Anolis sagrei: one gene and its partner. The protein of the gene in region 1 interacts with the protein of each later gene in a pairwise test. Links are inferred from orthologs where the notes say so. Each region holds a gene or a part of one and is shown on either strand. Other genes may lie near its edges.

The links.
Region 2: the proteins of PSMG1 (region 1) and PSMG2 interact in binary tests that used the Homo sapiens proteins (3 or more experiments, as listed by UniProt). The link is inferred for Anolis sagrei from reciprocal best matches to the Homo sapiens genes PSMG1 and PSMG2.

Annotation. Positions count from the first base shown.
Region 1 is NC_090021.1:246,352,029-246,368,425, reverse strand, and holds the start of PSMG1 (proteasome assembly chaperone 1), read left to right. Parts: upstream 1-8,680; 5' UTR 8,681-8,754; coding exon 8,755-8,897; intron 8,898-9,556; coding exon 9,557-9,654; intron 9,655-11,407; coding exon 11,408-11,559; intron 11,560-12,841; coding exon 12,842-12,904; intron 12,905-13,949; coding exon 13,950-14,148; intron 14,149-14,711; coding exon 14,712-14,848; intron 14,849-16,397. Other genes in the region: OSBPL5 (oxysterol-binding protein-related protein 5), read left to right, coding at 179-314, 1,540-1,657, 2,730-2,832, 4,042-4,177. UniProt on the Homo sapiens protein: Chaperone protein which promotes assembly of the 20S proteasome as part of a heterodimer with PSMG2.
Region 2 is NC_090024.1:66,279,961-66,295,849, forward strand, and holds the start of PSMG2 (proteasome assembly chaperone 2), read left to right. Parts: upstream 1-9,520; 5' UTR 9,521-9,595; coding exon 9,596-9,655; intron 9,656-13,018; coding exon 13,019-13,190; intron 13,191-14,592; coding exon 14,593-14,651; intron 14,652-15,889. Other genes in the region: CEP76 (centrosomal protein of 76 kDa), read right to left, coding at 385-513, 3,096-3,193, 3,676-3,861, 5,172-5,396, 5,820-5,901, 7,416-7,571, 9,019-9,081. UniProt on the Homo sapiens protein: Chaperone protein which promotes assembly of the 20S proteasome as part of a heterodimer with PSMG1.

The DNA of each region.
Region 1 (16,397 bases):
TATTTAGATCAGGAGGAAACATGCTGTGCTACAGCCACATGCAGCTTTTTGAATTCGAACATCCTATAGATACACATTGCCTGGTACAAACACTGGTAAAAGCTAGCTTGCAAGCATGGTATACATGATTTCTTGTAAATTTGGTAGCTTTTTTCATGTGCTTTTTTCCTTTGAAAAGTTTAAGGCCCTGGGACCCGCTGAATGACATTGCCCAGTATGAAAAGGACGGGATACTTCAAACCATGCAGAGGCACTTACCCAATCGAATGTCAGCTCACAAAAACATGCACATCAGCAACAAAGTCCGACACAAGGTAACATTGAGAAAAGTTATATTTTCCATACTATTGTATATAATCGAGTATCAGCCTAGTTTTTCAGCACATTTTTCATGCTGAAAAGCTTGGCTTATACTAGAGTGAGGGTCTTGGCAGGAAGGCATGGGACTGAAAGAAGCCCTTTGCAGGGCTTCTACCAGGTGCATGCCTCCTCCCCTCCGGCACAGCAACTGTGCAAAGAGAGGACGAGAGGAAGGCATGCAGCCTCTCCTCTCAGCACAGGAACCCAGCTGGGTTGCTGTACTGAGAGGCGAAGCTATATGCCTGAATTAATGTAATTTTATTGGTATCTATTTTATTTTGAATTTTACCAGTATCTGCTGCATATCCCACCCTAAGCTCAAGTCAGTAAGTTTTCCCAGCTTTTTGTGGTAAAATTATGTGTCTCGACTTATATTTGGGTCAGCTTATACTTGAGTATATACTGTGTTTGGATACATATAACATCCTTTTATGCCTGTTTTCTGAATGGTAGTAAGCCAATTTGCAGCCTGTGGCCTGCAATTCATTCTTCATGAGCCAGGTTTGGGAAGGTGGCAGCCCACTTACAGATTCATTAGTCCCATGACTTGGCAGTTCAATTACTATTCCTGTCTGTTTTCCAATGTTTTTGTCTGCAAATATGGTTAGTTCGTATGATATTCTCCTTCTAACCTGCAACAATTTTCCTTTCAAATTGTTAATTGTTAGGGTTAATTTAGATTATTATAGTGTTTCAGTTGAAGTGGTTTAACCAGCAGGCCAATGGACAGACTGTTGGGGCTTAGGGATGCTGAGTTCAGATTCCTGATATGAGATATCCAATTTGACTGGCTTTGGTGGTAGTTCTTTATCTGTAAAATGAAATGAAATGTAGAATCGAAATGATATTTATATCACATTGGAGGATTCTGAGGGTGGAAAAGACAAGAGAACAATTCAATGCGCAATTTACTTATATAGCTGTAATGCTAATATCCAGATTTGAAATGTCTGTTAGAATATTTAAAGGGGAAGAGATATGAAGGCCTTGAACAGGTCATTTCCATAGAAATGTGTGGGATTATTTATGAGGATTTCCACCCAGCTTCTTTCATCCTTGAGGTGATGAACCTCAGCAGCTCCCACTAAAGTCCAGGTAGTTATAAATACTTGGATGATATTTTTTTGTCTCACCCAAATCTCTGGTAAATTGACATATTTTCTGCATTGGTCCATTCAGAGGTCTGCAAATGATTGTCGACGCCGTAAAGCCAGTAATCAACCGTCCAATAACAGCCAGAACACTGAAAGTAGCTGTTCAACTCCTGAGTCCATGCAGGAACTTTCAGATGATGATGGTAAATGTGTTACAATGTTCTGATCCAGTGTGCTCTCTTTGTTTACCCACATCTTTCAGGAACTTGCCACTGCTATCCATCCTAGAAACAAATGCATTTCAGATATGTTTCTAGGACAGATGACAAGTGGCAAGTATAAATATGTGAGGGGAAGTCATAGGGAAGAGGGAGCATGCTTGATTTCTGACTATGACAGTGGCTCCAAACTACAGGAAAGGAGATTCCACCTGAACATTAGGAAGAACTTCCTAACTGTGAGAGCTGTTCAGCAGTGGAACTCACTGCCCCAGAGTGTAGTGGAGGCTCCTTTGGAGGCATTTAAACAGAGGCCTGATGGTCATCTGTCAAGGGTGTTTTAAAGGTGATTTTCCTGCTTCTTGGCAGGAGTTAGACTGGATGGCCCACGAGGTCTCTTCCAACTCTATGATTCTGATTCTATGTTGGAGTTCCATTGTCATTATTTCCCAAATTGCTCAAGTTGTAGATCTATGAAAGCCCTTTTATCCATTTATATCAACCTGTCTACCCACCTACATACCCATATTGCAATTTGAGAATTGGCAGTTGTTAATTGCCTTCAAATCAACATTGACTTATAGCAGCGCTATAAATAAGCCCACTGTGGCACTGTTTTCTGTACTGGTGGGACTACATGCTCCTGTGAAATAATAGATCATGCTGACAGCAACAGTGCTGCTGGTAGGGTCTTAATTGACAAAGAGACTTGGCAGTAGTAGTAGTGGGGCAGGATAACATTGGTGAACGATCTCTCAGAGATAATAGCAGTGACACCATAGCTAATGCTAGCTGGTACTGCACAAAAGGGGTCATAGAAGGTCTCTCATTCATAGGATCACCATAGATCAAAGTCAATTTGATGGCAGTTAACAACAAATAAGTAAGCAGATAGGTAATCAATGTACCACTTAAAAGAAACCTTTTTACATATATGTTGGAGTGATTTCTCCTCTCCTCTAGAAAGAAGAAAACTGCAAAACATGTAAAACACTAGAACCTTCACATTCACAAAACACACATATAATCCTGCTGTTATCTCACCATTTCACCATAGGTTTTGAAAGCCCGTGTACCCAGTGTGGGAAAGAATCGGATCATTTGAAGGAAATTCACACTGCTGTCTTATCCCTCCAGAGAGCTCAACAGGATATACACAGGTATGACCTTTCCTTATTAATGCAGTAACCTTATCAAACTTTAAATAACTGTGCATAGTTACAGCAGTATTGTATGCTGCTCTCAGGGACTCACTCTTCAAGAGTGCCAGGCAGGAAACTGGTTGATGCATAAGTTTTACTAAGCACGAACCAAAGTACAATGATAGTCATTAGCCCAATCCAGAAAGTCAAGTCAGTAAAATGAACAAAGGTTATTATCATGCCCCCACAGAGGCATTTTCTTTTCCAAGCCTCGGTTATCCCCTTAATTAGAATAGGTTCTGTTAGTTAGTTAGTTAGGGTGCCAGGAGTCTATTGACAGCAACATATTCCATGTTTAAGGTTTTAAAAGCTGAAGTTTAAAGTTTAGGAAACTGGAAAGGGGGGGGCAGAACAGTAATCTTCCTTCAGATCAAATGATTATGGAACAAACAAAAACTGAAGACATAATTTTTGGTGGTGCAGTGGTTTTAGAAAATGGAAAGGGAGGAGGAGTGTGGACATCTAGAAATTTTCCATGAGATTAACAGAAACCTTCCTATGCCTTCCTTTTTGGTTATTATATGTTTTAATGGTTTTTGTATGGATTTTATAATGTTGTTTTAAATGTTTTAATTGTATATTGTGGATTGTTATGGCATCCAGTTGCTGCCAATTTGTAAGCTGCCTTGAGAAAGGCTTGAGAAAGGCAGGATAGAAATATCGTAAATAAATAAACAAACCACTTTTTGGGGGGGAGGGGGAGAAGTTGGGAAACGAAGATGCCTGAAAAGTCATGGTATTCTTGAAAGTCAGGGATTTTTTTTTTTCATGTCAGGAGCAACTTGAGAAACTGCAAGTTGCTTCTGGTGTGAGAGAATTGGCCGTCTGCAAGGATGTTGCCCAGGGATGCCCAGATGTTTTACCATCATATGGGAGGCTTCTCTCATTTACCTGCATGAGGAGTTGGAACTGACAGACAGGAGGAGCTGTCCCCACTCGCCAGATCTGAACCGCTGACCTTTTGGTCAGCAGAAAAGGAGAGTTACATTATCTTTGTAAATCTCGTTTTTATTATCAGAGAAACAGTAAGTATGGCCAGAATATATTCTTTCCCATGTTTCCTTTGCTCAAATCCTGAACTGATTTGGATTTTTTTTCTTTATAGAATCTGCCTCTGTAGGTACTATTTTCCTTTCTGAATAACCATTGCTTAACTCATTCTTGCAGAAACCTCACTGCTCTGAACAAAAAGTCCCTCTTCAGGAGGACCTCATCAGAAAACCTCTTCATGGACTCTCGCTGTTGGTTCCTTCTGTGCATCTTTCTCACGTGTCAGCTCTTCATTAATTATGTCTTCAAATAAACATCACAGTGGCATTTGGGCAGCAATAAGAATGACCAGCTGCAGGAGCGTGGAGACTGAAAGGCAAGGAGCCCACCGAGGCATTAAGCACTTTACTACCGACACAGCAACCAGGGGCAAAAGGAAGAGAGAACAGGGTGAACCAGGGAACCTGCAAAGTTGTGTTCTTCAAATTTAATGTCATTGCCTTTTTTACATGTACATCTACAAGGACCTCTTTACCTGTATGGGCCTTAATGCTAAAGCCAAATGTAGCTTTAATTGTGCAATTTTTGTTTTTCTATGTCTGGTCGTTTTCTGATGCAATTAAATGTTACTAACAAGTATTTGTGCCCCTTCTAACACTACCAACATCTACTTGGTTTTGTAATACGGTTCCCAGTGGTTTGTTTTGTAGCTGTTCTACAGAACGAGGAGGGCACTTGGACATTGATCCAGGTGCCTTCTAGAAAGGAACATTGGGCAGCCAGATAGAAAATTAAGCCAACTGGGTATAGATAGCACAGCTTCTCCTTGGATCTTCTCACCAGTGCTCTCTCACACCACATCTCAATGAACAGCACACCACATTGCATTCCACCAAGTTGTAAATATGCATGATTTCTTAATGACCTGTCCTTTTAGGAAACACGAAGCCTCCCATTCATAGGCAACAATGGCCTGCCAGATGGTCGGAAAAGGAATCAGTTCGGGGATATTAGTCTCAAAGTTTTTACATTGATTAAAACACACAAACACAAGCACTGTATAAAGGAATGCAAACAATATTTAAAGGAATGCCTCTGAAATGTACCATTATTCCCAGAAGGGGAAAAGAGAATGACCGTATATGAGCACTTCTGTATATAGTTTATTTTGTATGCCACAAAAATCACTACAGTACCGGGGTTCACTGGGCATATACTGTGGCATAGGAAGGTTTTGTCCACTGATGCATCCAGGGCAGCTTTATGGGTAGGTGGTGCAAGCAACTGCTTCTGTATGTTTCTTTTGGGTGATCACTTGTAACTAGTTGGCTCAGCTTCCCTGTGCTTTGTATCAAAGGACAACTGCTTTCTAGTATCACAGAATGCCCCCTTCCCCTCTATAGGGCTGATCCTGTGATTGTGTGAAGGCACCTTGTGTATGTTCTTTGCTCATAGGTACATTTAAAGGTTAATGGTCAGGATTAGTAAGGGTTTGCCACTGCATCCTCTGACTCTGTTGATAGTCTTCCTATTTTTACACCATTTTTAAAAGATTTGCAATATTTTATGTAGATTCGCAGCCAGTACTAAGCCTTTCTTTTCTGGCCTGAAGTAGTTCCAAGTGGTAAGTACTGCTATATATATAAAAAGATTATATATATATATATACAGCCTTAAAATATTTAGTGGTGGTGCCAGTCTGGGCTAACTTTCATTGTAAATGTTTCCAGATTTTTAACTACATTCCTTGTGATGTTCCCTCATTAGGGGAAATTTTGTTTGTGCTTGATATGTTGAAATAAACTACACAACTTTCACTTATACCTTCTGTGTGGCTCTGTCATTGTAGTACATACAACTTCTTTTTTGCTATTTATCTTTCTTGTGCAAGAAATATTTACTCCATGGAGATGTTGACAAGCTGGAATGTGTTCAGAGGAGGGTGAATAAAATGATCAAGGGTCTGGAGAACAAGCCCTATGAGGAGTGGCTTAAAGAGCTGGGCATGTTTAGCCTGTAGAAGAGAAGGTTGAGAGGAGACATAATGGCCATGTTTCAATATGTGAGGGGAAGTCATAGGGAGGAGGCCTGTTTTTGGCTGCCCTGGAGAGTAGGACCACCACATCCTCCATAAAAGATTTAGCAATGTATTGGAGGCCTGCAGGAGAGGGGGAAATGTGTTCGACCTGTAGAAGCAGTTCAAGCTGCAGACAGACACATTTTGAAGTTTTCCCAAACTGGTTAGCTTGCAGTGTACTGAAATGAAGAATATATCTCTGAGTACATATCAGGAAACTTGCTCATTTTTTACCTTCCAATGTATTATTTTCATAATTGTGCCATCAATTAATGTCTATGTTGTTGATGTTATTAATATTGTGCTAAAATGACACCCTTTGTTATGCACATATACACATATAGAAATGGGGTTACAGAGTGGAGTCCACAAGATGCGAGTGTGGAGAAGAGCAAACCACAGAGTACTTATTACAGTGCAGTCTGAGCCCTGCCACATGCACAATGGAGGACCTTCTCACCGCGACACCAGAGGCACTCCAAGTAGCCAGCTTCTGGTCAAAGGAAATTTAGTACACTGCCAAGTTTTTTTTTACTTTGGTTGTGGTTTTCCTGTACATTATAACTGTATTCTCAATTCGCTTCTGACATTATAAATAAACATGTACATATACACAAAAACATATAACACTGTAATTGAACCTCCAACTCCAGAGTCTCATCACTCAACATGTCTTTTTACCTTTAAACCCCACTCTGTGTTTGGTACTTGGGATTCATGGTGACCAGTATACAGACATATTGGTTGCAGAGTTCAGTGTGGTAAGGCATTAATTATATGAAAACATAGAGATAGAAAAAAATGAAAACAGTGAGATTTGTGGTATAATGCCTAAAAGAAATATGTTCAATATTATTACCTCAGTTTAAAGGAAAGTAATACTTCTCCCTGAACTCCTTCTCAGCTCCTAAAAATACTTCAATTCCATAATTTGCACTAACTATCTAACAGACACGCCACTTTGAGTCCCCTTTGAGGAGATAAAGCAGGGCATAAATAAATATGATAATAAAACTTCTGGTTTATATTCTATCCTAGCCCTCCTACCCACAGCATTCTAAGGTTGTGATTGGATGGAAACATCATCATCATAGGCTGTCGCTCGTGGCCAAGTAGAGAAAGATGGGCCAAAATTAAACAAAATGAAGTTCAACAGGGACAAATACTCCACTTAGGCACATCATGAGAAGACAGAAACACATGGAGAAGACAATGATGTTGAGGAAAATGCAAGGAAAAAGGAAGAGGGGCCGACCAAGGGCAAGATGGATGGATGGTATCCTTGAAGTGACTGGCTTGACCTTGAAGGAGCTGGGGGTGGCGACAGCTGACAGGGAGCTCTGGCGTGGGCTGGTCCATGAGGTCACAAAGAGTCAGAAGCGACTGAACGAATGAACAACATTCAAAAAACAGGGGAAGGTTATAGTATGAAAGCTGGGTCCAGAAGTCCTGAGAGTTACACTGTTTCTGCTCTGCCCCTTCGGGAGCGCTGTTTACACAACGCAGAACGGAACACTAATATTATAAAAGGAATGTAAGAGCTCTTTAATGGTAAAACCCTAACCCGTACCTGAACCTTTACCTTAACCCTAACCCTAACCCTAACCAAACCATAATCATAAACCTAAACCCTAACCCTCCCCTCCTTTCTATCCCTTCACCAAATGCAACTACGAAATATATTATCCCCTTTCCTTATTCACAACCGCCATTGCAGAATTTGCGTAATGCTCGGCACTTCCAGACCCAGCTATCATACTATCACTCAGGGGAATGCCACACAGGAAACAATCGGCCAGCTAACACCTCCCAACAAAGGATTCCCCCAGACAGGAAGCAGCCAGACTTTGAAGCTGCAAGGTCATTCAATGCTAATCAAGGTGGCCAATTGCAACATTCACACCTGCCTCAATTGAAGAGAGATATTGACAAGCTGGAATATGTCCAGAGGCAGGGGACTAAAATGATCAAGGGTCTGGAGAACAAGCCCTATGAGGAGTGGCTTAAAGAGTTGGGCATGTTTAGCCTGAAGAAGAGAAGGCTGAGAGGAGCCATTATAGCTATGTATAAATATGTGAGAGGAAGTCACAGGGAGGAGGGAGCAAGTTTGTTTCTGCTGCCCTGGAGACTGGGATGCAGAACAATGGCTTCAAACTACAGGAAAGGAGATTCCACCTGAAGAACTTCCTGACTGTCAGCGCCGTTCAGCAGTGGAACTCTCTGCCCGGAGTGTGGTAGAGGCTCCTTCTTTGAAAGCTTTTAAACAGAGGAAGGATGGCATTGCTTTAAATGCAATTTTCCTGCTTCTTGGCAGGGGGTAGGACTGGATGGCCCATGAGGGATCTTCCAACTCTATGATTCTATGATTCGAAAGATTCCTCCAGGCAGGAAGCAGCCAGACTTTGAAGCTGCAAGGCCATTCAATACTACTCAAGGTGGCCAATTGCAACATCCACACCTGCCTCAAGCAGACATGAGTTCTTTCTCTCACCCTGGACATTATTCCACAGATATATGAATAAACCCCACTTGCCTAGTTTCCAACAGACCTCACAACCTCTGAGGATGCCTGTCATAGATGTGGGCGAAACGTCAGGAGAGAATGCTTCTGAAACATGGCCATACAGCCCGCCAAACTCATAGCAACACACCAGCATCTGGTTTCGCAACTGAGGGCAAGATGGAAGCATCGCGGCTGGCTTCAAGGGCTCCTTCTGCGCATGCCCGCTCTCCCGGAAGCGCCCCTGCATTGGAGACGCTGCTCTGCTGCGTAAATACAAGAGGGAGACCGAGAGAGAGAGAGCGTGCACGCGATGGCCACGTTCTTCGGGGAAGTGGTGGCCACCCGGTCCCGCGCGGGGCTGGACGAGGAAGAGGAGGAGGAAGAGGAGGCTGCCGCCCAACGCCAGGAGACGCCGGAGGACCGCCAGATCCGCCTCGCCCTCCAGGAGAAAAGGTAGACCGGGATTGGGGAGGGGGGAGGATTGCATCCACCCACACTGTAGGTTTGATGCAGGCTGACTCTGCTGTCGGATCATTTGGATTGCAGTTGGGAGAAGTTCCAGCACTCTTTCCCAAAGGAAGGTAAAGACCTTGTGAAACTAGAGCTCCCAGGAACCCATTGCATTGAGCCAGGGCAGTCCAAGTGGGGTCAAACCGTGTAGATCAGGTCTGGGTGGACTTGGGCCCTCCAGGTCTTTTGGACTCCAACTCCCAGCATTCCTAACAGCCTCAGGCCCCTTCCTTTTCCCCCTCAGCCGCTTAAGCGCCCAAGTCCACCCAGGCCAGGTGTAGATGCACCTAAGGAGGACATCTAGCCCCACCTTTCTGAAATCTGCAGCCCTAGAGCATGTGCAGAGTGCATGCTGAATCATTGCAGCCTCCTCTCCATCTCTATGCATATCTAGAACTTTTGTCAATGCTACTTTTACAAGTTGAGTATCCTTTGCCTGAAATGTTTGGGTTTTGGGTTTTTGCAATACTTGCATTTGCATATGAGTACAAAAAATGAGATATCTTGGAGTTTGTGCCCCAATCTAAACACAAAATTTATTTCTGCTCCATATATATCTTATGCACCTAGCATGATTTCACATAGTATTTTATTTTATTCAGGGAGGTTCACCTTGTCTGGAATCCGGGACTGAAGGCCTCTCTGGAAGAGCAGCTTCCTTGCTCAAAGTTCATCTTGGCTGTGGGTCAGAACGCAGTAGGTAAGCAATAGTATTCATTTCTTTGCTTGCTTTGATTGTTTAACCCACTGTTAACCCCTTGTAGAGCAGGCAGGGGCAAACTTTCTGAATTGGGGGCTGCATGTTAGCACTCCGTTAAGAGGACTGGCTGCCCAGTGATGGATGGAAAGAAAGAACGAAGGAAAGAGAGAAGGAAAGAAGGAGGAAATGGAGGGAGGGAAGGTTGGAAAGAGAAAGAGGGAGGGGGAGGGAGGTAAGGAAGGACAAAAGGAAGCAAATGATGGAAATAGGAAATGAAGAGGGAAGGACAAAAGGATGGAAGGAAAGAGAGAATGATGGAAGAAGAAAGAGGGAGGTAAGGAACTAAGGGAGGGAGGTAAGAAGGAAGGGAAGAGAAGGAAGGAAGGAGAAAGGAAAGAGGGAAGGAAGGACAAAAGGGTGGAAGGGATGGAAGGAGAAAGGGAGGTAAGGAGGAAGGAAAGAGAGAAGGAGGGAAGACAAAAGGGAGGAAGAGAAAGATGGAAGGACGAAGGGAAGGGCCCAATTTAAGGTGCTGGTGTTATCCTACAAAGCCCTAAACGGTTCCGGCCCAAAGTACCTTGCGGACCGCATCTCGGCCTATGAGCCCACGAGGACCTTGAGATCATCTGGGGAGGCCCTTCTCTCGATCCCGCCTGCCTCACAGGCACGTCTGGCGGGGACGAGAGAGAGGGCCTTCTCGGTGGTGGCCCCCCGGCTGTGGAACTCCCTCCCTGCTGACATCAGACAGGCGCCCTCCCTTATGGCCTTTCGCAAGGGCCTGAAGACATGGCTTTTCGAGATGGCATTCAACTGAGTGCTATGTTACTGGAAATGACAACTGGAATGGATTACGACTACGAGATTTGTTATGATTCCACGATAAGACGGAGCGGATTATTTTAGTGTAATTAGATGTTGTGTATTAGTGATATGTTAGTTTTGTTGTCTTGGTTCATTGTAAATTGTCTTTTATGTGCTGTACACCGCCACGAGTCGCCCTAGGGCTGAGAGCGGCAGTTAATAAATGCAGGAAATAAATAAATAAATAATAAGGATGGAAGGAAGGGAAGGGGAAAGAAAAAGAAGGATTGGGGAGGTAAGGAACAAAGGGAGGGAGATAAGAAGGAATGGAAGAGAGAAGGAAGGAGAAAGTAGGAAAGAGGGGAAGGATGGAAGGAGAAAAAGGGAGATAAGGAGGAAGGAAAGGAAGACAAAAGGGAGGAAGGGAAAGATGGAAGGAGGAAGGGAAGGAGGAAGGAAAAAGAAGGATGGAGGGAGGTAAGAAACTACGGGAGGGAGGTAAGGAGGATGGAAGAAAGAAGGAAGAAAGGACAAAAGGGTGGATGGGAAGAAAGGATGGAAGGAGAAAAAGGAAAGGGAGGGAGGAAGGAAGGAAGGAAGAAAAGACAAAAGAGAAAGAAGACTGAAAGTGTGGAAGGGAAGGAAGAACGGGGGGGGGGGGAGAGGGAGGTAACGAAGAGAGGGAGGGAAGGAGAAAGAAAAGAGAGAAGGAAGGAAGGAATAGAATTGTGTGAGAGAGGGGGGCCTGAGAAAAGAGTCCAAACGGCCACATCCAGGCCTGGGTTTGCCCGTGCCTGTTGTAGAGTCACTTCCATCAGCTTCAGATATCTCCTCAAATAATGTAAACTGTGTACTTGAGGTGTATCACTAAATGGCTACATTGCAAATGTGTTTGATAACAACGTGCCAGACACAACAATGTTCCATAAATCAAATCTGGCTTTGTTTGCAGCATTCTTGTCTTCCTTTGTTTTGAGTTCGGATTCTTGGGAGGTAGTTGGATCTGTCAAATTATGGAATGAGTGGACCAGGACGTCAAACACAACCAAATTCCTTCCAGCAGATTCCTTTTGTTTGTTTTATCGCTTGATTTCCGATCCTACTGTAAGTACCACCTTTTTTTACCTCCTTTCTCCCCAAACAGGGTTTGGAAGATCTTAAGTAACTAAGGTAACTGCTGCTAGCTTAGTATATAATGACCATGATTTGTTAGTAAATAATGACCATGATTCCCTAGCTAAGCTGCTAAGTGATGCACCAATGATCCTATTTGCCATGCACTGTAGTGTCTACACTCATATTTAAGTGTTGGAATCCCATACATGTGGTTTGGGACCAGTGTCGGCAACATAGTATATTTTGTTTAGCTCCTGGCTTTTAAAGAGTTATACAGAAATGTGAAGGTCCAGAGAAAGGAACCTAGAACACTAGTGAAGATATCCAAATACCTTTTTGTGTTTTTCCATATGCAGAAATCTTTGATGAATTAATTTTTATTTTAAATATAAATAAAATGTATGAAATGAGTTCACTTGCTGCCCCCCTGACATACATTCTCAAAATGATTTCTAAGCTGATTTGGGCATGATATTGGAAAGGGATTTGCATGTCTTATACAATACAGGACCCATCCAGGTATTTGGCCCAGGAGATCGGGTGTAAATCCAATGGTGGATTATTTTAGCAGATAATGTTTTAACTTATTTTATTTATACCCACAGATGTTATAAGCATTGTATATGAAACCATGTAGATTGAATCCATATCATGGACTTTCTGCTTTTACTGTTTTGAATCTCTGGTCTTAGTATTAAAACTTTCAAAATAACTCTGTTTTTAATGTTTTAAAGTTTTACACTCCTGATCTGTGATGGTAACGGTAACAATAAAATTCATTCAGTTGCTAGGGAACCCCTTCAATGAATTTTAAATATTTTTTTCGTGTCATGAGCAACATGGGAAACTGCAAGTTGCTTCTGGTATGCGAGAATTGGCTGTGTGCAAGGGCATTGCCTAAAGGCTGCCTGGATATTTTACCATCCTTTGGGAAGCTTCTCTCATATCCCTGCATGGGAAGCTGGAGCTGACAGACGGGAGCTCACCCCATCTCCCAGATTCAAACCGCTGACCTTTTGGTCAGCAGTCCTCCTGGCACAAGGGTTTAGCCCATTGCACCACCAGGGGCTCCATGATAACTCAATGCGTAAGGGCACCTTTTTAATAGTGCATGTGAAGAAAAAAAGAGATTTGAGGAGTCAGAAGAGTTCAAAGGCCATCAAAAAAGCACTCACTTTGCTGTCCCTGCCTTCAGAATTATCATCATTTATATTGCCAGTTAATAAGGCATTGCAGAAATTCACGAAATTTGTTTTACTACAATTTCCAGGTTTTATTGTGCCAGTGCAATTGTTATGTGGCTGAAGACCAACAATTTCAATGGCTTGAAAAGGTAAGAAGGACAGTGGTAAGTTTTTTGCATAGGTAACATAGAGCGAGGGTCATGTATGCTATTGTTACTGGAGTTGGCAATGTCCTGGTTATATTTCTCATTGAAAATCAGTTGTGGACTGAGGGTCTGCCACCATGTGAGTTACAGAGAGTGAATGCACTGAGAGGGGAAATTTAGTCTCCAAAGGAACCTTGTGGAGGCTCTCTAAGACTAAGACGTATCAGCACTCTTGTTTCTATAAATGTTAACAGTAAATGTGTGCGTGCCTTCCCAGAAGTAAGTCCCCTTGACCTCACTGCTAACTGGGAGAGAAATAAAGTTGAACACTGTGAAAGCCACCCACTGCATGGCTATCAGCCTCCTCCTAGTAGACACAAAGCAAGGAAAAGCTTCATGAGAACCACCACTCTTAATGTTCCCCCAGCAACATCAAGGCTATATCCCTCTGGGTAGCTAAACCAGGAAATCCCAATTGGATGGTCCCCCACGAGGGTCTTCCTCCAGGAGAAACCAAGAATGGGCAAATTGGAAGTCCCTGAACAGACTCAGAAGTGGGCAGATCAAAAGATAACCTGGCAAAATGACTACCTAGAAGAATCCTCCACCTTGTGCGACTACGGAGCAGAACCAACAACTCTGCACCTGTATGCTTGCCCACAATGCCCTGCCTCATATACAAAGGAATAACTGTTTAAAGTTAAAGACAATGTAGTCTCTGTTGCCCCGTTTTGGTCAAAAATTATTTAGCTACTTGTGCTCCCTCTATTTTTGTCAGTTTTATACCTATGTGTGCAATGCTTTGACACGAAATAAATAAACCTCACTGAGGCTTGCTCTTGGATACATTGGCACAGGGTTCATTCTGCGATTTGGCTTCCTGTGTGAATGCCACTTCTCCATGGCTGCTTCCTGCACAGAGGCATTAGAGATGATTTCACATGGAAGGAATGTGACTAGCATCAGCTGCTAGCGTGAAATAGCCTCAGTATAGTCACTCTTTTCGCATTTTGTCACACTCGCCCTGAAATTTGTAACTTTATTCTAGGTATTTGGATGCCTGCAGAATACGAATTTGAAAGTATTGGTTCTTTCGTCGTGTTCCGTTACAGATTATAAAACACCAGAGTCAATTATAACACTTCCCTCTCCTTTTCTGAAAGCGTTAAAGACAACAGAGTTCAAGGATCAACTCTGCTGCTCACTTCTAGAACAGCCAAATATTGTACGGGATCTTCCTGCGGCAGGTATGGAATCTCTTCCCATAGCAGAAGTCTAAGGAGGGGAAAACAAGCCATCGTGCAGTAGCAAAATAGCTCCCTGCCAAACTCGGCTCATAGGCCACCTACACATTTAGTAGCTTGTTTCCCTCTGTGTTTCCCTTTTTACCATTATTACTTTTTTTTCCAATAGCATTATTACTTACTTTCCAATGGGAGGGAAGGATGTGAGTCTCTGTGGGTGGAGCATAATGCATGATCCCATCCTGAAGTAGCAAAATAGCTCCCTGCCCAACTCAGCTCATAGGCCACCCACATATTTAGTACCTTATTTCCCTCTGTGTTTTCTTTTTTTTCCACCTGTTACTATTTATTTTCCAATAGAACAACATTGTCTTATGTCTTAGTGGGAGGGAAGGATGTAAGTCTTTGTGGGTGGAGCGTAATGCATGATCCCGCCTATAAAGTGTCACAAAATGTGTGTTCAATCTGATTTGTTGGGCATTTCATGTTTTTCTCTTATTTTCTCATAAAAGAGCAAGTGAATGATCATTTTTGCCTTTTCTCTCCCCTGCCCTTGTTGTGCCCAGTTCTCAGTTACTGCCAAGTGTGGCAGATCCCTGCAGTGCTTTATCAGTGTTACACTGATGTCCTCAATCTGGATGTGGTAGCAGTTGATGCTTTCAAGCCGGTTCTTTCTTCCAGAATCCTAAAGAGTTTGGTCAAGGTAAGACTTAATTACTTGGTCTTATTTCAGACTGCCTGAGCTATTGGGCATTTTATCAACATGACCATTGCTTTGAAGAAAACTTAGATTAATGTAAATTTATGGAAAGTGCTTTTTAGCAGTTACAACTTAAAAGAGATAGTTCCATACAGAGCCATGCAAATATTTATAGTGACTTGGGAGCATGAATGTGAATGGATTCTGCTGTACAATCAGCCCTCTTCTCTCTCTAGGGTTTAGAGGTAAAAATCCCTGTGAAATGAAAAATCTCAAAGAAATTGCTGTTTTTCACTTGAGAGAATACCTCCCTGGGAATTTCTAGATTTTCCAGCACAACTTCATGGTCAACTTTGGCTGGAATTGCATTGGAGGACCTAAAGATTCCTAGAGAGACTTCTCTCTAGAAATCTCTAGCTCCTCCAGCAAAATTGAAGGACATTGACCATAAAGCCATACTGGAGGACTTTAAAATGTTGCATCTAGGAATATCTAGCAATGGTATTCCCCGTAGTCACCAATGATGTGAGAGCTGGACTATAGGGAAGGCTGAGCGAAGGAAGACAGATGCTTTTGAACTGTGGTGTTGGAGGAAAGTTCTGAGAGTGCCTTGGACTGCCAGAAGATCCAACCAGTCCATACTTCAGGAAATAAAGCCCGGCTGCTCATTGGAGGGAAGAATAGTAGAGGCCAAGATGAAGTACTTTGGCCACATCATGAGAAGAAATGAAAGCTTAGAGAAGACAATTGTGCTGGGGAAAATGGAAGGAAAAAGGAAGAGGGGCCGACCAAGGGCAAGATGGATGGATGGCATCCTTGAAGTAAATGGATTGACCTTGAAGGAGCTGGGGGTGGTGACAACCAACAGGGAGCTCTGGCGTGGGCTGGTCCATGAGGTCACGAAGAGTCGGAAACAACTGAAAGAATGAACAACAACAACAACAAAGGAATATCTAACCAAATCCATTAATAATTAAATTAGCAAAAGTAAAAACTCAAATCTTGAGAAACAACTGTACTTCACTCCTGCTGATGGGCCTTTCAAAGGCAATTGATTGGCCTCTGTGTTTACAGAAATTCTGGTTTACCTGTATATACTCAAGTATAACCCAACCCGAATATAAGCCAAGGCACCTAATTTTACCACAAAAAACTGGGAAAACGTATTGACTCAAGTATAAGCTGAGGGTGGAAAATGCAGCAGCTACTGGTAAATTTCAAAATAAAAATAGATTCCAATAAAGTGACATTAATTGAAGCATCAGTAGGGTAAATATTTTTGAGTATTTACATTAAACTAGAATTTAAGGTAAGACTGTCCAACTTGAATTAAACCATTATTCTAACCTTCAGTGTAAATGTGCTTACGTAGCCTTCCAATAATAATAAAGTAAAAATAATAAAAATAAAAATAGAGTAAAACAATGGAAATGTAATAACAACAGTAATAGAGTAAAATAATAAATGTAATAATAATAATAGAGTAAAATAATAAATGTAATAATGACAATAATAACTAGAGTAAACTAATAAATGTAATAATAACAATAAT
Region 2 (15,889 bases), on another chromosome or scaffold:
CCATCTCACCTCCTCCCTGCTCCTGTGGGCCAATGATGGCCAGGGCCATCACCTCCTCACCCATCTACTCCACTGGGGATGCTGCCTCAACTTCATGTACCCAGCTGGTAACATCATCAGTGTTGCCTGGGTGGAGGAAAAGCATCTAGGGGAGTTTCTACCACCACCACCTGAGCTGTCCTGTATGTCCCCAGCCTATGTGGGCCTCTTCCGCTTGCTGTGCTACATATGTCCGTTTCAGTTTACCAAAGGAAGCAAGATTTCTCATTGTCCAGGAGCAGAGAGAAGTCTGGATAAAACCCAGCACATCTGTATTTACATTTTTTTCTTCAGAGATTTTTTTTACATATAGTAAAAAGTAAGAAAATATAAAAGTTGACAAACCTGTGCAAAAATTTTGACTAGCCTTGTGTTGTGTGAGGTCCTGATCTGCAGGTATTCCCTCCACCATTGTTTAGCATACACAAGAAATAAGCGCTCTTTTTCTGCTGTTTTCTGGCGTTCTAAAGCAAGCTGTAATTTAAGAAAACCAACAGGCACTGTGCTATACTGTTCAGTATTCTAAAAATTAAATAATTTAATTTAGTAGGAAAAACATATTACATATTATCAAGGAAACCCATTAATGTAACATTCAATGCAGAGTCTTAAAATACACAGGAGACAATTTCATTATCAGCAGATCTTTCTGAAGTAGTCTCTGAGGTAAAGTCTTTTACTTTCATTGCTAACAAAAGTGGTTACAAAGGTATTTATTCTTAAATAAAACATTTAAGAGACACTGTAGCATCTCTGAGCCTTATGTAGAGTCCAAGTGAGATTTAATCAAAAAATGTGTAACTGCAGCTACATTGTATGTCTCAAAGAACAGTTGCAACTGGCACACTAGTTTTATCTATGCAAAGTCACTGCTCATCAGTGCTCAAACCTGGAAATCAAGGATCAGAGTTCAATCCAGAGGTGTATCCCACTCCAGAGAGGCAGTGATATTATGGTGAATGGTATCAAAAACTGCTGCGGCCCAGTAGAACTTACAGGGATGTATTTCCCTTGTTCAGTTCTCTGCAAAAGCCATCCACCAGACAACCAAGACTCTGTCTCATAATCAGGTCTAAAACCAGACTAAAATAGATATAGATACTCTGCCTCACCCAGAAGCAACTAGAACCGGAAGGTCACCAGATACTGTACAGCCTTATCCGAAAATGGAATGGTACGGATAGGCCAATATTTATTCAGAAATGTGAGATCTAAGAAATACTTCTTGAGTAACAGCTTAACTGCAGCCTTTAGTCAGGATGGAAACGTCCCTTTTTTCAGTGAAGCATTTGCCATTCCCTTTATCCATTTGACCAATTCTACATAAGTCAGACAAGGATCCAATACACAGTGATGGCTCTCATTCCATGCATCTGATTAGAACAGTGGTTCTCAATCTTTGGGTCCCCAGATGTGTTGGCCCTCAACTGGTAAACTGGATGGGATTTCTGGGAGTTGTAGGCCAAAACACCTGGGGACCCACAGGCTGAGAACTACTGAATTGGAACTTGTTTCAAAATATGATCCAGGATTCCCTTACATCTTTTCATGCAGAATAATATGACTATGTCACTGAATTTTTAAAATAAAGGCAGTTATATTACTGTTCTCTGCCCTAATATATTTACTTGCTTTGGTAATTGTTTCAGTTAGTCCAGAGTTAATCCACTGCACAGCTCATGTTTCCTTTCCAGTTTTTCTATATCATTTTGGTTTTCAGCACATGTTAGCAATTTTACAATATAGAATCACTGTATTACATTCCAGGAAAAACTTCATTTGAGAATATTTTACCTCTACACAATCCCACCACATGTGCAGTTACATTTCTCACAACCTCTCCAAGGTTTTGAAGATAGGGTTTCATATATGATGAGGAAACTCACAGAGCAGATGGTGGGTGTCCAGAGAGAAAGAAGGCAAGGAGATTTCCTCCATGTAAACAAAATTCAGTTACTTAATTTTGAATTTAATCTAAAGAAATAATTCAAGGGTAGCTTAAGAAAGGAAGCTGAATTAAAACGGAAGATGAAAAATCCGAGACATTTTCATTCAATCTGACTTAAGAAAAAGCCTGTTTAAAACATATTTGTACGTATGTCTTTGTGAGATCAACAATAAGCAAGATAATGGATAAGATGTTTTAAAATGTATTGTTACAGACTACTTCTTGATACTGCAAGCAACAATATTTTGGAGTACAGATACTCCATCTGTAACAGTTTCACACTTGGAAAAAATGCCTGGTGACAACTATCTTCTTCAAAATTGCAGTTACAGTTGCAATAATATTAAATTGCAAGTATCAGGACAATATAATATTTCCTTCCCAAAAAGCCAAATTTTGTTTCAGATTTACCCTTCCAGTATGGGATACATCAAGCAATGAGGATTAAGGATAGCTCTTTTTCAGTTAAAAGATATTACATAAAATTTAGAATGGTTTTTTTTTTTTTGTCGTGTCAGGAGCGACTTGAGAAACTGGAAGTCGCTTCTGGTATGAGAGAATTGGCTGTCTGCGAGGACATTGCCCAAGGGACGCCTAGATGATTTGATGTTTTTATCATCATTGTGGGAGGCTTCTCTCATGTCCCCGCATGAAGAGCTGGAGCTGATAGAGGGAGCTCATCCACCTCTCCCCGGATTTGAACCTGCAACCTGTCGGTCTTCAGTCCTGCCGGCACAGGGGTTTAACCCACTGCGCCACCGGGGGTGCATTAGGATGGTAATGTTGATGAAGAACAGAATGAGATGAACAGGCAGAAAATGCAACCAATGTTGCATAAATTTTGTTCTCTTAATTCTCCAAACTAAATACATTGATACATGAACCACAGTAGTGCTCAGTTATTCCATGTTTCCTATTCATTGCAATACCACATTTTTAAGAATAAAGAGGGAGACAACTGTATTTCAGCAGAACTTTTACAAACAACAACAAACTCAATTTTTACTGTTTCAAATGGTATAAAAGCAATCTGATTTGCATTTTAAAATATATAAATTTATATGTTAACCTTGATTGTGTCCCGTCCCCCCCAAATGTTAAGACTTACTTGAGTACTGACTATTTCCTGAGAAAGTATCTTATTTAGTTTTGGGTACATTTCGAGTCTGATGTTCAGTACTCCCACTGAAACCTTTGATTCTGAACCTTTGGACCAAAAGATATTTGTTTGATAAGAATATAAATAGACATTTTAATAGGTCAGTTTTTCAGAAACCACACAAAAGACATACATTTTCTCTTCTAATTAAATTTAGGAAATATAAAATCTTTGCGGTAACCACATTCCCTTATAGTCTTATCTGAATTACAAAGAATACTGTGCCCGTTTTCCAAAGCAGAATTTTAAATTATATGAGATTAATATGTATTACTAGAAAGTAATGAAAGGAAAGAACCTGGCTTTATTGTGAAAACAACAGGCTTTTGAGGGGAAAAATGTTGGAAGTTGTATCCTGGGTGACATTGTTTCCTCTTTCAAGAGTGATAAACTTTACAGCTCAAATTGCTTAATAAACAGTTTGAAACCAACTTTCAATTTTACTATTCCCATCTTCCTTTTTTAATTTAATCTGGTGTTATTCTTTATATTTTACTATATTTTACAGTAGTATATTTTTAAAGCTTACCTACACCCAGAAGTTCAACAGCAATATTTGTTATCTTATTCTCTGCACTCAGGACTGACCGCCACTCTAAGAAATAAGAGGCAACTAATGTTGTCTCACCAGCTGTATCTGTTTTGATCAAGACAATGTGCACTGGATCACATATTGAAAGCATAGTGGTTGCATCCACCATTTTACTTCCTTCACCTGTCAATATATCAAAACAGATGAAGAGTCTAGTCAAATCCCCAGACATATTGCCATTACACTTTTGAAAAATGACTTAAAGAGTCCAAATTATGACATACGTATCAAATTTACAACAAAAAACAACCAGAGCTTGTTAATATTGCCTAAGAAAAGCAACTATGACATGGAGAAATTTTGAGTAGAAAAACAGCTGAAGGGGAAAGAAGTAAGCACTTCACTTCCTACTGAATCCTTTCTATCCAAAATTACAGCACTGATTTTGTCTATTAAGCAACAGGTTCCATGGATTTTCATAAGTTTCAACAACAACAACAACAACTTTGTTCTTATATCTTGCCTCCATCTCCCCGAAGGGACTTTGGGCAGGCTACATAGGGACCAAACCCAATATAAACAAAGTTACAAAATGACAAAATTAAAAATATCAATCAAATATATAAAAAATAAAACCAATAAAATCTAAAACACCATAAGACATAACTCAACAGCAAGCAACCGATGGCCAAGAAAAGTGAGCATGTGCAGGTTTGGGACTAATAGGGCAGGAAAGAGCTAGTGCAACATAATCTGTAAAGCCGGGACTGGGAATAAAGTGCTGGACATCCTACCAAAAGATGAGGGCTAGACAGATTTGATGTGTGTGTGTGTGTGTGTGTGTGTACATATGAGAGGATATGGCTGCAGTTTCATGAAGAGTCAGAAGGTGGAGTCTATTTTTTATGAAGGCAAATACATGAGATACACATCAACTGCTGCAAGTATACAATCTGCTGTTACATCCATACAAATGTGAACCAAGAATATTCATCCAATACCAGCACAAGGTGAACCCCCCCCCCCCTTTTGTCCATTTTTGGGAGACAGGCTATTCCTGTAAAATCCTCAAATAATCCTATACAAACAAACTCACAAGATTATGGGAATATGTTCTTTATATTTACACATTTTTGGGCTTATTATTAGTGTATTATCTCATGATGAGAATAACATGATAGTGACGAAACAAGTAACAAAAAGTGTGTGTAGAAGGAACATGGCCATACAGCCCAGAAAACTCACAGCAATCCAGTGCAGAAGCTTATTTTTTGTAAACTAAGAGGTTTTGAATTGAAGTTTACATTTTTTTCAAAATGAGGTCTACAAAGCAGCCATGACTAATTAATTTTGCCAATGTGGATAACTGCTATGAAACCTTTATGTGTGTGATAATACTTCTATATGCAAAAGGAAAAAGAAAAGAAAAAAGAATGCTAATATCCCCAAAGGAGAACTCAATATTATTCCTGTCACACTTCAGATTTTCTTACCTAAGGTATCCTTATATACTTCAAGTAGAAAGCCATCACTGAAATCCGGTTCACAGGCACATGGCACAGGTTTAGAGCGGAAACGTTGATTTCGAAAATGTAAACAGAGGGTGAAAGTAGAACAAGTTTGACCAGGTAAAGGCTCAGGTTCCTGCAGATGTTCCAGAAAAGCTTTCCCACTCAGAACCTGAAGGTAAAGATACCTCCGTGTTGGGTCAATATTTGCTGCAAAGTGTACCAATAAATAGGAAATAATCACAGTTTTGTACAAAATATATTTTGCATTAATAGTTAGGACTAGTCAGTAACTGTACTTTAAAGTATTTACATAAAAGTCATTGTGAATATTAAAATTCCTTTCCTATTTGATCCTGATAGCATACATTAAAGAGAAATAATTTTATTGGATTTGACTGAAATCCCAGATTCCCCATTCATGTATTACAGGATCATCAGTTAAGATCAACTCCACTATGAAAACATATCACCAGAGAAATGGCAACACTGCTGACAAAAGAATACATCAAAGCAGAAGGAAGATACTTCTAACCTACTTTAAAAATAATATAAATTATGTCTTACTTTGCACCTTATAAAGCATCTAAAAAACAGTAAATGAAATGTTGTTAAAAATAGCATATAACCTACTTTTTTTCAGCACCGCTGGTTGTGTATCAATGAAGTGTGTTGAAGGTTTTGGAGGTGAACTTATTTCACCACTGTTCATATCCTAGGATTATATAGAGATAAGCACACATTCAACACACCCTTGCAACCATGTCTTTTTATCTCAATAGAACACATTCTGAAAATGCCAAAGCAGTCTTCAATAGTTCACATTATACAATCTCTAAGATACACTGTTATGAAATAAAATTATGAAAATAGCATCTAGTCTATAAGACAGTTCCTCGGGCTACTTGTCATTGTTTAGGCAGTATGATTACGTGAATAATACGTAGAAATGGTAACACCTCACATTGAATGATGCTGTTCACAGAAGTAGTATGGCTGTAATCTACGTACTTGTATTGGCTGTTGCCAATGTAATTTTTCATACCTCTAATCTACAGGGTGTTTCAAAATGATGAACCCAATTTCAAAACAGTTTATTTCACAACAGCAACATGTTACAATTACACAAAAGGTTACATGCATTTTAATAAAATATCTAGTTTTATTAATCATTTTGATCCAGAAACAAATGTAAAAAATAATTCCACAAATTGAGACTATCTCATTAAGCCTTATGTTGCAGTACTGTCATCTTGCAAATGACTGATTCTTTTGTGTGTGTGCTAAGAGAGGCATCTAGCAGTAATAATTTGAAACTCAAGATAGAATTTATGGGCATTTTGTGGTTGCAGAAATATAGCAATTTCAAATTAATTCCATTTTTTAAAAACACCTTACATAAAATGGTTAGCCAGCAAGGGGTTTAACCTGCATCCAGAGCTGCAATATCCCTAGATAGGATAGGAAGATAACTCACAAAGTGATGTTCCCTTTTCTGTCAAACTTAAAATGACCGTATATGTTTCCGTCACCAGACATGATTTTAAGTATTGCATGTGCGATTGTCTTTGAATTGAGTGACTTCTGATGTCAAATAAGTGCTTTCTTCTTATAACCTAATTCTATTTCAGGTTCGTCCCTCATGCAGCAACATATCCCTTGAGTGTATGGGTGAGTTAGAGGATGGAGGAAGATTCAGAAGTGAAGGCAATTGACTGGAGCAGATAGATCCAGCTCACCCTAACTTCCAGCAGATGACAACAAAGAAATTTACCTACGCAGTTTTGATCTATTAAAATTAACACTGCTCCACAATGAATCCAATCATAAATATTTTTGTACCAGGTTATCTGTATTATACACGAGAGCCCGGTGGTGCAGTGGGTTAAACCACTGAGCTGCTGAACTTGCTGACTGAAAAGTTGGTGGTTCAAATCCAGGGAATGGAGTGAGCTTCTGCTATTACCCCCAGCTTCTGCCAATCTAGCAGTTCGAAAACATGCAAATGTGAGTAGATCAATAGATACCGCTCCAGTTGGAAGGTAACGGTGCTCCAAGCAGTCATGCTGGCCACATGACCTTGGAGGTGTCTACAGACATCAGCTCTTCGGTTTAGAAAAGGAGATGAGTACCAACCCTCCCGAGTCGAACATGACTAGACCTTTACCTTATCTGTATTATGTAATCAATATCTGGTACCATTTCAGATGTTTTCTTCAAACTACTCACAGTTACAAAGCTGAGTTCTTTCATAACATCATTAATGATTCCTCTCCGTATCAGGGCTTTCATTAGATGTTGTTCTGAGAGTTGCTGGTGTTCAGGTGCCAGTTCTTCACGAATAGTCTCAGCAAGGACTTCTCGGACCCTGCTGTGGACATCCATCTATGAAGAAATAATAATACTAATAATAATATAGGTATATGTTTATATTACATGTAATATTATTAATAACATTACAATACAATGGTATAGTACAATATAGTAATAGTTAATATTGATATTGTACTATGCTAATAATATAATATATTGGACGTATGTATATCCTGTAAGCCGCTCTGAGTCCCCTTTGGGGTGAGAAGGGCAGCATATAAATGTTGTAAATAAATAAATAAGTACAGTGGGCCCTTGGTATCTGCTGGGGTTTGGTTCCAGGTCCTCCTGCGGATACCAAAAGTCATGGATGCTCAAGTCCCATGATATACAGTGGCATAATAAAGTGGTGTTCCTTATACAAAATGACAAAATCAAGGTCGGCGGTTTGGATTTTTTTGGAGGCGGGGGGAGTGTTTTTAAGCCATGGATGTTGGGAATCGAAGAATGCAGAATATGTGGGTATGAAGGTCCAACTGAATAAACGAAGGCAGGCAAACCAGCCTTGGTGTATAGTTGACTATTTCAGACCAAGCCAATTTCAGATTTAAACCAAAGATGGAGAGTATCAGGTTCGATTATTCCTGCTCATAAGCCATAGTTCAGTGGGATTCCCACTTTTGCTTATTTGCTTATTTTTTAATTCCACTGTTATTACGAGGGGTATTTTTTTAAGTAAGATCCGTTTTATTGTAGACACTAGTAGTTTGCGCGCATACCGCAACTAGCGCGTGCGTTGTGTACCGGCATGCCTCAGGAACAACTGTGCTCAGTTTCCGCTCTGTAGCTAACCTGTACGGTTCTGTTCTGTGCTTTAAAAATGTTTAAGACTATCAACTCACCCTCCGCATGTGAGGTTCGCTCAGTGATACGGTTTTTGCCAGCAAGGAACCTGCCTGTTGCAGAAATCCATCGACAGATTTGTGAAGTGTACGGTGATACTGTTATGAGTGAAAGCAAAGTGCGTAAGTGGGTACGACAATTCAAAGATGGCCGTGACAACGTCCATGATGAGGACCGTTCAGGTTCCTTGCTGACAAAAACCGTATCACATACGGCTGAGCACAGTTGTTCCCGAGGCATGCACGTGCTCATTGCGGTATGAGCGCGAACTACTAGTATCTACAACAAAACGGACCTTACTTTTAAAATACCCCTCGTATATACACCCAGCCTCTGCATCCATTGATTCAACCATCTGTAGCAGCCATCCCCAAACTGTGGACTTCCTATGGTGCAAGCATGGGCCAACTTGGGCCCTCCAGGTGTTTTGGACTTCAACTCTCAGAATTCCTAACAGCCTCAGCTTAAGCGGCTGAGGGGGGGGGGGGAGGAAAGGGCCTGAGGCTGTTAGGAATTCTGGGAGTTGAAGTCCAAAACACCTGGAGGGCCCAAGTTGGCCCAAGCCTGCTATAAAGGCTTTCAATGGGCATTTTCTCTTCCTCCTCCTCCTTCTCACCTTGGTCAGCTGCTGGTGAATGATCTGCTTGAGCTCTGAGGCTTTCCCGGGAGCCAAGGCCATGGCTCAGCAACTGTCCCAATTCCTTAGACTAAGTGGACACCAGACAGGCCTTCATCCCAGGCACCTCCAACCACAACACCACACTCCTCCGTTCTCCCGCGCGCTCAAACCGCCTATCCCGTCTCCCCCCTCCCAAGAGCACCCATTGGCTGGATCTCCAGCCAATCAGCAAACTCGGCCCCTCCCACAGCTAGCCATGCGCTTGCTCGGGCCTCAACCGCCTTTCAAAAAATAAAAGGTGTCTATCACAATTGCCTGATAGCAAGGCAATCGAGTCTTGTTAGGCAATTAATACCCGTACGGCAGAACAACAACAACAACAACAACAAAAATGTAATTTTCCTTCAAAGGAACTGTCGCTCGCCCGTTAACTGGCTGTCAGTAAGCGCAGATGGGGACAGGCACTGTGCAAGACACCTCTCCGAGGCGGTGAACAAGAAAGGCCCCTTGCTCTCGCTACCAAAGGGAACTCTTGTGTAGGCCTGCGGTGCGTCCAGTCAGCGTCTTGGATAGAATGTTCGTTCCCTGCGAGGGCCGCGCGCCCGCTGACTTCAAAGGCTGCACGCTGCTAATGGTAATGGACAGTTCCTTCCTTGCGCGGCGCGAGACGGCCGGAGAGAGCGCCCAACCCCCCGTTGCCCGGGCAACGCGCGAGCGGGCGCGTGGCATTGAGTCAGGCGTGGGAGGAGGAGGAGGAGGAGGAGGGAGGCAGTAGGAGGGGTCTCTACCTAAAATATGGAGGGAGGGAGTGTGTGTGTGCCCCTTTAAGGGCGCATCTACACTGTAGAATTTAAAGCAGTTTGACATTGCTATGGGATGACTGTAGAATTTAATGCAGTTTGACACCATGGCTCAGTGCTATGGGATGATGGGAGCTATAATTTTGGTGAGACTCCTGCAGTGGTTAGACTGGTTCTCAACCTGGGGTCCCCAGATGTTTTTGGCCTACAATTCCCAGAAATCCTAACAGCTGGTAAACTGGCTGGGATTTCTGGGAGTTGTAGGCCAAAAACATCTAGGGACCCACAGGTTGAGAACCACTGAGAGGATACCTCTTGTCTTTTGCTGAATGTAGCATTTGCGGGGTTTTCTTGCGAGGTCTATAGATAGTTTGTAGGTATATCTTCGAAGGCTTTCATGGCCGGAATCACTGGGTTGTTGTTTGTTTAGGGCTATAAAGCCCTAAACGACTCCGGCCCTGTTTACCTCTCCGAACGTATTCTCCCCTATGAATCATCAAGATTATTAAGATCGTCTGAAGAGGCCCTGCTCTCCGTCCCACCGGCCTCGCAAGCGCATCTGGTGGGGACGAGGGACAGGGCCTTCTCGGTGGTGGCCCCTCAACTCTGGAACTCTCTCACACTGGAGATCAGAACCGCCCCTTCTATCCTGACATTTAGGAAACAGGTGAAGACGTGGTTATGGAGACAGGCATTCGACTAGTGAGCCAATACCCTGAGATATGGATGGAGGATGATGAACAACGATTTTAGTGTGACGACTGACCATTGTAGTTATTGAATGTAATTGCTGTTTTAATGTTTTACTGTAATACGAATTATGATGTTTTATTGACTGTATGTGATATTATGGTCGGAAACCGGCCTGATTCCCTCAAGAGAGGTGAGAAGGTCGGTATACAAAACTTTTAAATAAATAAATAAATAAATAAATAAAATTTTCAGGCTGTATGGCCATGTTCCAGAAGCATTGTCTCCTGACGTTTCGCCCACATCTATGGCAGGTATCCTCAGAGGTTGTGAGGTTTGTTGGAAACTAGGAAAATTGGGTTTATATATCTGTGAAATGTCCAGGGTTGGGAGAAAGAACTCTTGTAGGGTGAGGCAGCATAACTTTCTTTTTTCAAAACTTAATAAAACCCATTGTATGAATCGGAATTTTTAAAATATATAATGTAGGCGAATACCTAAAGTTTTGTTTTACATAGTTTTGAAGATCAAATTAGGTAGGTGACGTCCTCCATTCTCCATACACCGAGTAAACCAAATCTTGTAGGGTCCTTGGATGGTTCACATAAACACGGGATTTCAAAAAAACCCATAGAAAAAAATCACAAGGGGCCAAATCTGGAGAACGGGCCGGCCACTCCAAATCCGCTCGAAAAGTAGGCCTCAATGGCAAAAGCACATTCCTCACTGCTCCAACGCATGATGGCGACTGAACTGTGTCAGGACAAAACTTTATACTCCCGCCTCTCAAACGAGACCACTAGCGCTCCGCTACGTCTTCAACCGACTGAATGGCACGCATTTTTTTAAAAGTATCTGTGGAAGGTCCAGGGTGGGAGAAAGAGCTCTTGTCTGTTGGAGGTAGGTGTGAATTTTCAATTGGCCACCTTGATTAGCATTTAATGGCCTAGAAGTTTCAAGTTTCAGGATTTATTTATTTCATATCAAAAGCATTGCATAAATTAGTGTAAAACTGATAAAAATAGAAGGAGCACAGGCAGCTAAACATCTTTTGACCAAAAACAGGCAACAGCAATGGCATTGTCTGTAGCCTCCAACAATTCTTCCTCTGTACATGAGGCAGGGCATAGTGGACAAGCATACAGGAGTGGAGTTGTCTGTAAGTTTCAGGAGAAACATCAGGAGAGAATGCTTATGGAACATGGCCATACAGCCCGAAAAACTTACAACAACCCAGTTTGTAGGTTTTCTTTATCAGGGTTCCTATGCGGTCAGTGGTTCCCTTGATGTATGTCAAGAATACATATGGACAAAAGGGATCCTCTCACCTCTGCAGGAGTCTACTATGCAGCTGTGGACAAGTCTACATAGGGACCACCAAATGCACCATTGCCCAAACACGAATAAAGGAACATGAAAGGCACTGTAGACGAATTCAACCAGAGAAGTCAGCCATAGCAGAGCACCTGATGAACCAACCTGGACACAGAATATCATTTGAGAACACAGAAATGCTGGACCACTCTAACAACTACCATGTCAGACTACACAGCGAAACCATTGAAATCCAAAAGCATGTGGACAATTTCAACAGAAAGGACGAAACCATGAAAATGAACAAAATCTGGCTACCAGTATTTTTTTAAAAGAACTCTAAAATCAGGACAGTAAATAAAGAGGAACACTCAAACAAGGGAATTCTAGACAGGAAACAATCAGCCAGCTAACACCTCCCAACAAAGGATTCCCTCAGGCAGCTAGCAGCCAGGCTTTGACGCTACAAGGCCATTAAATGATAATCAAGCTTCCAGTTGCAACATTCACACTTTCCTCAAACAGAGAAGAGTTCTTTCTCCAACCATGGACATTCCACAGATATATAAACCCCACTGTCCTAATTTCCAACAGACCTCACAACCTCTGAGGACACCTGCCATAGATGTGGGCAAAATGTCAGGGGAGAATGCTTCTGGAACATGGTAATACAACCTGAAAAGCTCACCACAACCTATGTGTAAGATTGCTAGCAAAACTATGTATATAATAATTGCTGAAGAATCCTGTCTCTTTGTGTTAAAAAGGATTTGATACCCTTTCGCCTCAGTTCGATTAAAAGGACAATTATCTGAACAAGCAGATACCATTTTTAAAATTGGTAAATAGCAGCCACATTACTTTTTTCTCCAAAACATTATAAAATATACTAATACAAACTGCTTTGAGTCTTCTTTGTGAGGTGTAAATAAACATAGTAATAATAATAATCTGAATGTGTACATTTTGCTATAAATTACTTTGGCATTACTTTACTATAGTATTGTGGTTTGACAGCTGAAATGTGTTAATACCACTACTGCTAATAATAATAACCTGCCCTATCTCCCCAAGGGGACTCAATAGAAATGGTTAATAATGTTCAGTGTTCAACTAACATGTTTTTTTAAATTTGAAAATCAGTCATTTTTTTCAGATGATGTAACTCGCATGCATCTGTTATGTCATTTCAGCCCGCGGTATCGGTGGGGAATGTTGGCCAGCTGGCTGTAGATCTAGTTATTTCCACCCTTGACATGTCTAAAGTTGGGTACTTTTATACTGATTGTCTTGTGCCAATGATTGGAAATAATCCATATGCAACAACAGAAGAGAATGCAACAGAGCTGTGTATAAATGCTGAAGGTAAGTACATTGAATGTAATGTTGGGTGCTAACTTGGGCTTGTTGTGTCTTCTCCAGAGAAACACCCTTCTTTTTAGAATGAATTTGAGCATTTTAACTCCTTGCTGTATAGAAATAGTATATGAGAAATAGTATCTGAAGTGAATTATCCCTGCTTTCCAGCACTAATTGATGTGGATATTACAGTTTTCAGCAACATTTCTCATTCAGATTGTATATATTAGCACACAATTCTTCCAAAGGGATAGTACATAATTGCTTATACTATTAATACCGAGAATCATACATTAAAATGGGAAGTGTATAAACATGCTTTTCTCCCTGTATAGTACAGATATTCCCTGTATAGTACAGATATTCAAATGGTCTTAATTGGATATTCCATGAAGTCTCAATAAAATACAGCTTAAGTATCCCTTATTCGAGCCCCCGGTGGCGCAGTGGGTTAAAGTGCTGAGCTGCTGACCTAAAGGTTGCAGGTTCGAATCCGGGGGGTGGTGTAAGCTTCCGCTGTCAGCCCCAGCTTCTGCCAACCTAGCAGTTCGAAAACATGCAAATGTGAGTAGATCAATAGGTACCGCTCTGGCAGGAAAGTAACGGCGTGCTATACAGTCATGCCAGCCACATGACCTTGGAGGTGTCTACGGACAACGCTGGCTCTTCGGCTTAAAAATAGAGATGAGCACCACTCCCCAGAGTCGGACACGACTGGACTTAATATTAGGGGAAAACCTTTACCTTTACCTTTTTTACAGGTATTCCAAAATTTTAAAAACCAGAAATATTTCTTGTCCCAAGCATTTTGGATAATGGATACACAATCTGCATTATCTAACCAGTAACAACATCATGAGTTTGTTCAGACTGTCGAGGTTAATTTGTAATCAGAAAGAAAGAAAAAGAAGAAGGTTTTATTCTTCTGCAAAACAATTCCATTTAGGACTTCATGTCAGGGGGAAACCTTTACCTTTACCTATCCCTTATTCAAACATTCAAAATCAAAAGTACTCTAGAATCTAAAATTATCCACATGGGTAACTGAGATGGTGACATCTTTGCTTTCTGCTGGCTCAGTGTACACTAACATAAAATTGCTGTCAGGCCAAAGTGTGTAAGGTGTATATGAAACATACATGAATATTGTATTTAAACTTGGGCTTCATTTCCAAGATATCTCAAGTGTATGCAACTATTCCAAAACCTGAAATCAAAACATTTCTGATTCCAAGCATATTCGGATAATATTTAGATAAGGAATAATCAGTCTGTATTTAAACTTTAAATACATTGGTAAAATTCAGTCAAGACATAACTGTAAAACTCTTACTGGTTCATCTCATATTCCTAAAGACAAATGTAAGTTAAGGTTGATCTTGATATACTGTTTATATGCTTTTCTTAGTGTATACAGCTCCTTCTAAAGAACTGGTGGTTTTGCAACTCAGATCTCCATTCATCAAGGTATGAGTGTTTTCTTTGTATTATTACATTCCAGAGAAAAACTAGGTATCTTGTTTTCTTCTGCTGGGTAATTGAGATTGTCTTAATTAGGATTCACCCTACTCTATGTTTAAATACCTTTAAAAACATTCCAGAAAGATCTGTCAACTTATCCACGGTTCATATCAAAATTCATAATTCTGGCCACAAAACTTGTCCTCAGCTTATATATGAGATCAACTTATAAATGAGTGAGTACATATAGTACATTTTGATATTAATTGACACTTACTCCTGAGCAAATGTATAATAAGATTAAGGCTTTAAGTTGTTTTACATTTTCAGAATTCGTGATTTACACAACTGCCTTAAGATGTTCTTCCAAAAATAAATTAAGTGTGACAAGTTGATCTAAGTGCCTTTTCTGTATTTATTATCCATTCCAGTTTTGGGGGGATGGGAGTGGGGAGAATTATTTAAGGTGTGAAATTATACAGGGACGATGTAAGAATGCCTCACTTTTAAAAAATCCTATATGTTTACATATAATGTTATTGCAACACTATACAGGACAGCCATGATGAATATGTGCAGCAGATTTCACTTTTTGCTTTGTTAAGAGGGTAATAGAACTGATGTTCCTGTGATGTCTCTTACACCATGAGCTGTGGCTCATTTAGTGCATGAATGTCTTTTTTGGCATTGGCTTGTACAAATTACCTCCCCATCTATATGTTCATGTGTTTGTGTGTGTGTCAGGAGCAGCTTGAGAAACTACACGTTGCTTCTGGTGTGAGAGAATTGGCCATTGCCCAGGGGATGCCTGGATGTTTTTATCATCCTGTAGAAGGCTTCTCTCATGTCCCCGCATGAGAAGCTGAAGCTGATAGATGGGAGCTCACCCCACTCCCTGGATTTGAACCTCCAACCTTTCGTGCGGTAGTTGTTTTGGTAGTTGAGGCAAAAATCTCTTGAGCATCCCTCCCCTGACACTAAAATATAATAAAAACTTTAATAAAAGACCAACTATTTTAAAATCAAAATCTGCCTGAGAAGTTATTCTGCTTAATGACAGACTTGGCCCTGTCCCTTTATTTTTTTCCCACTGATATTACTATGAAGGCCATTGTGATATACATACTTTGGGCTGTCATATTCACCATGTTTGCTTGGACTGCCTTGCTTTCATCAGCTTTCTTTGATTATTTGACTTGCCAAAATTTCTTTGAACAATTCCATGTTCATAAAATCTTTTAAAA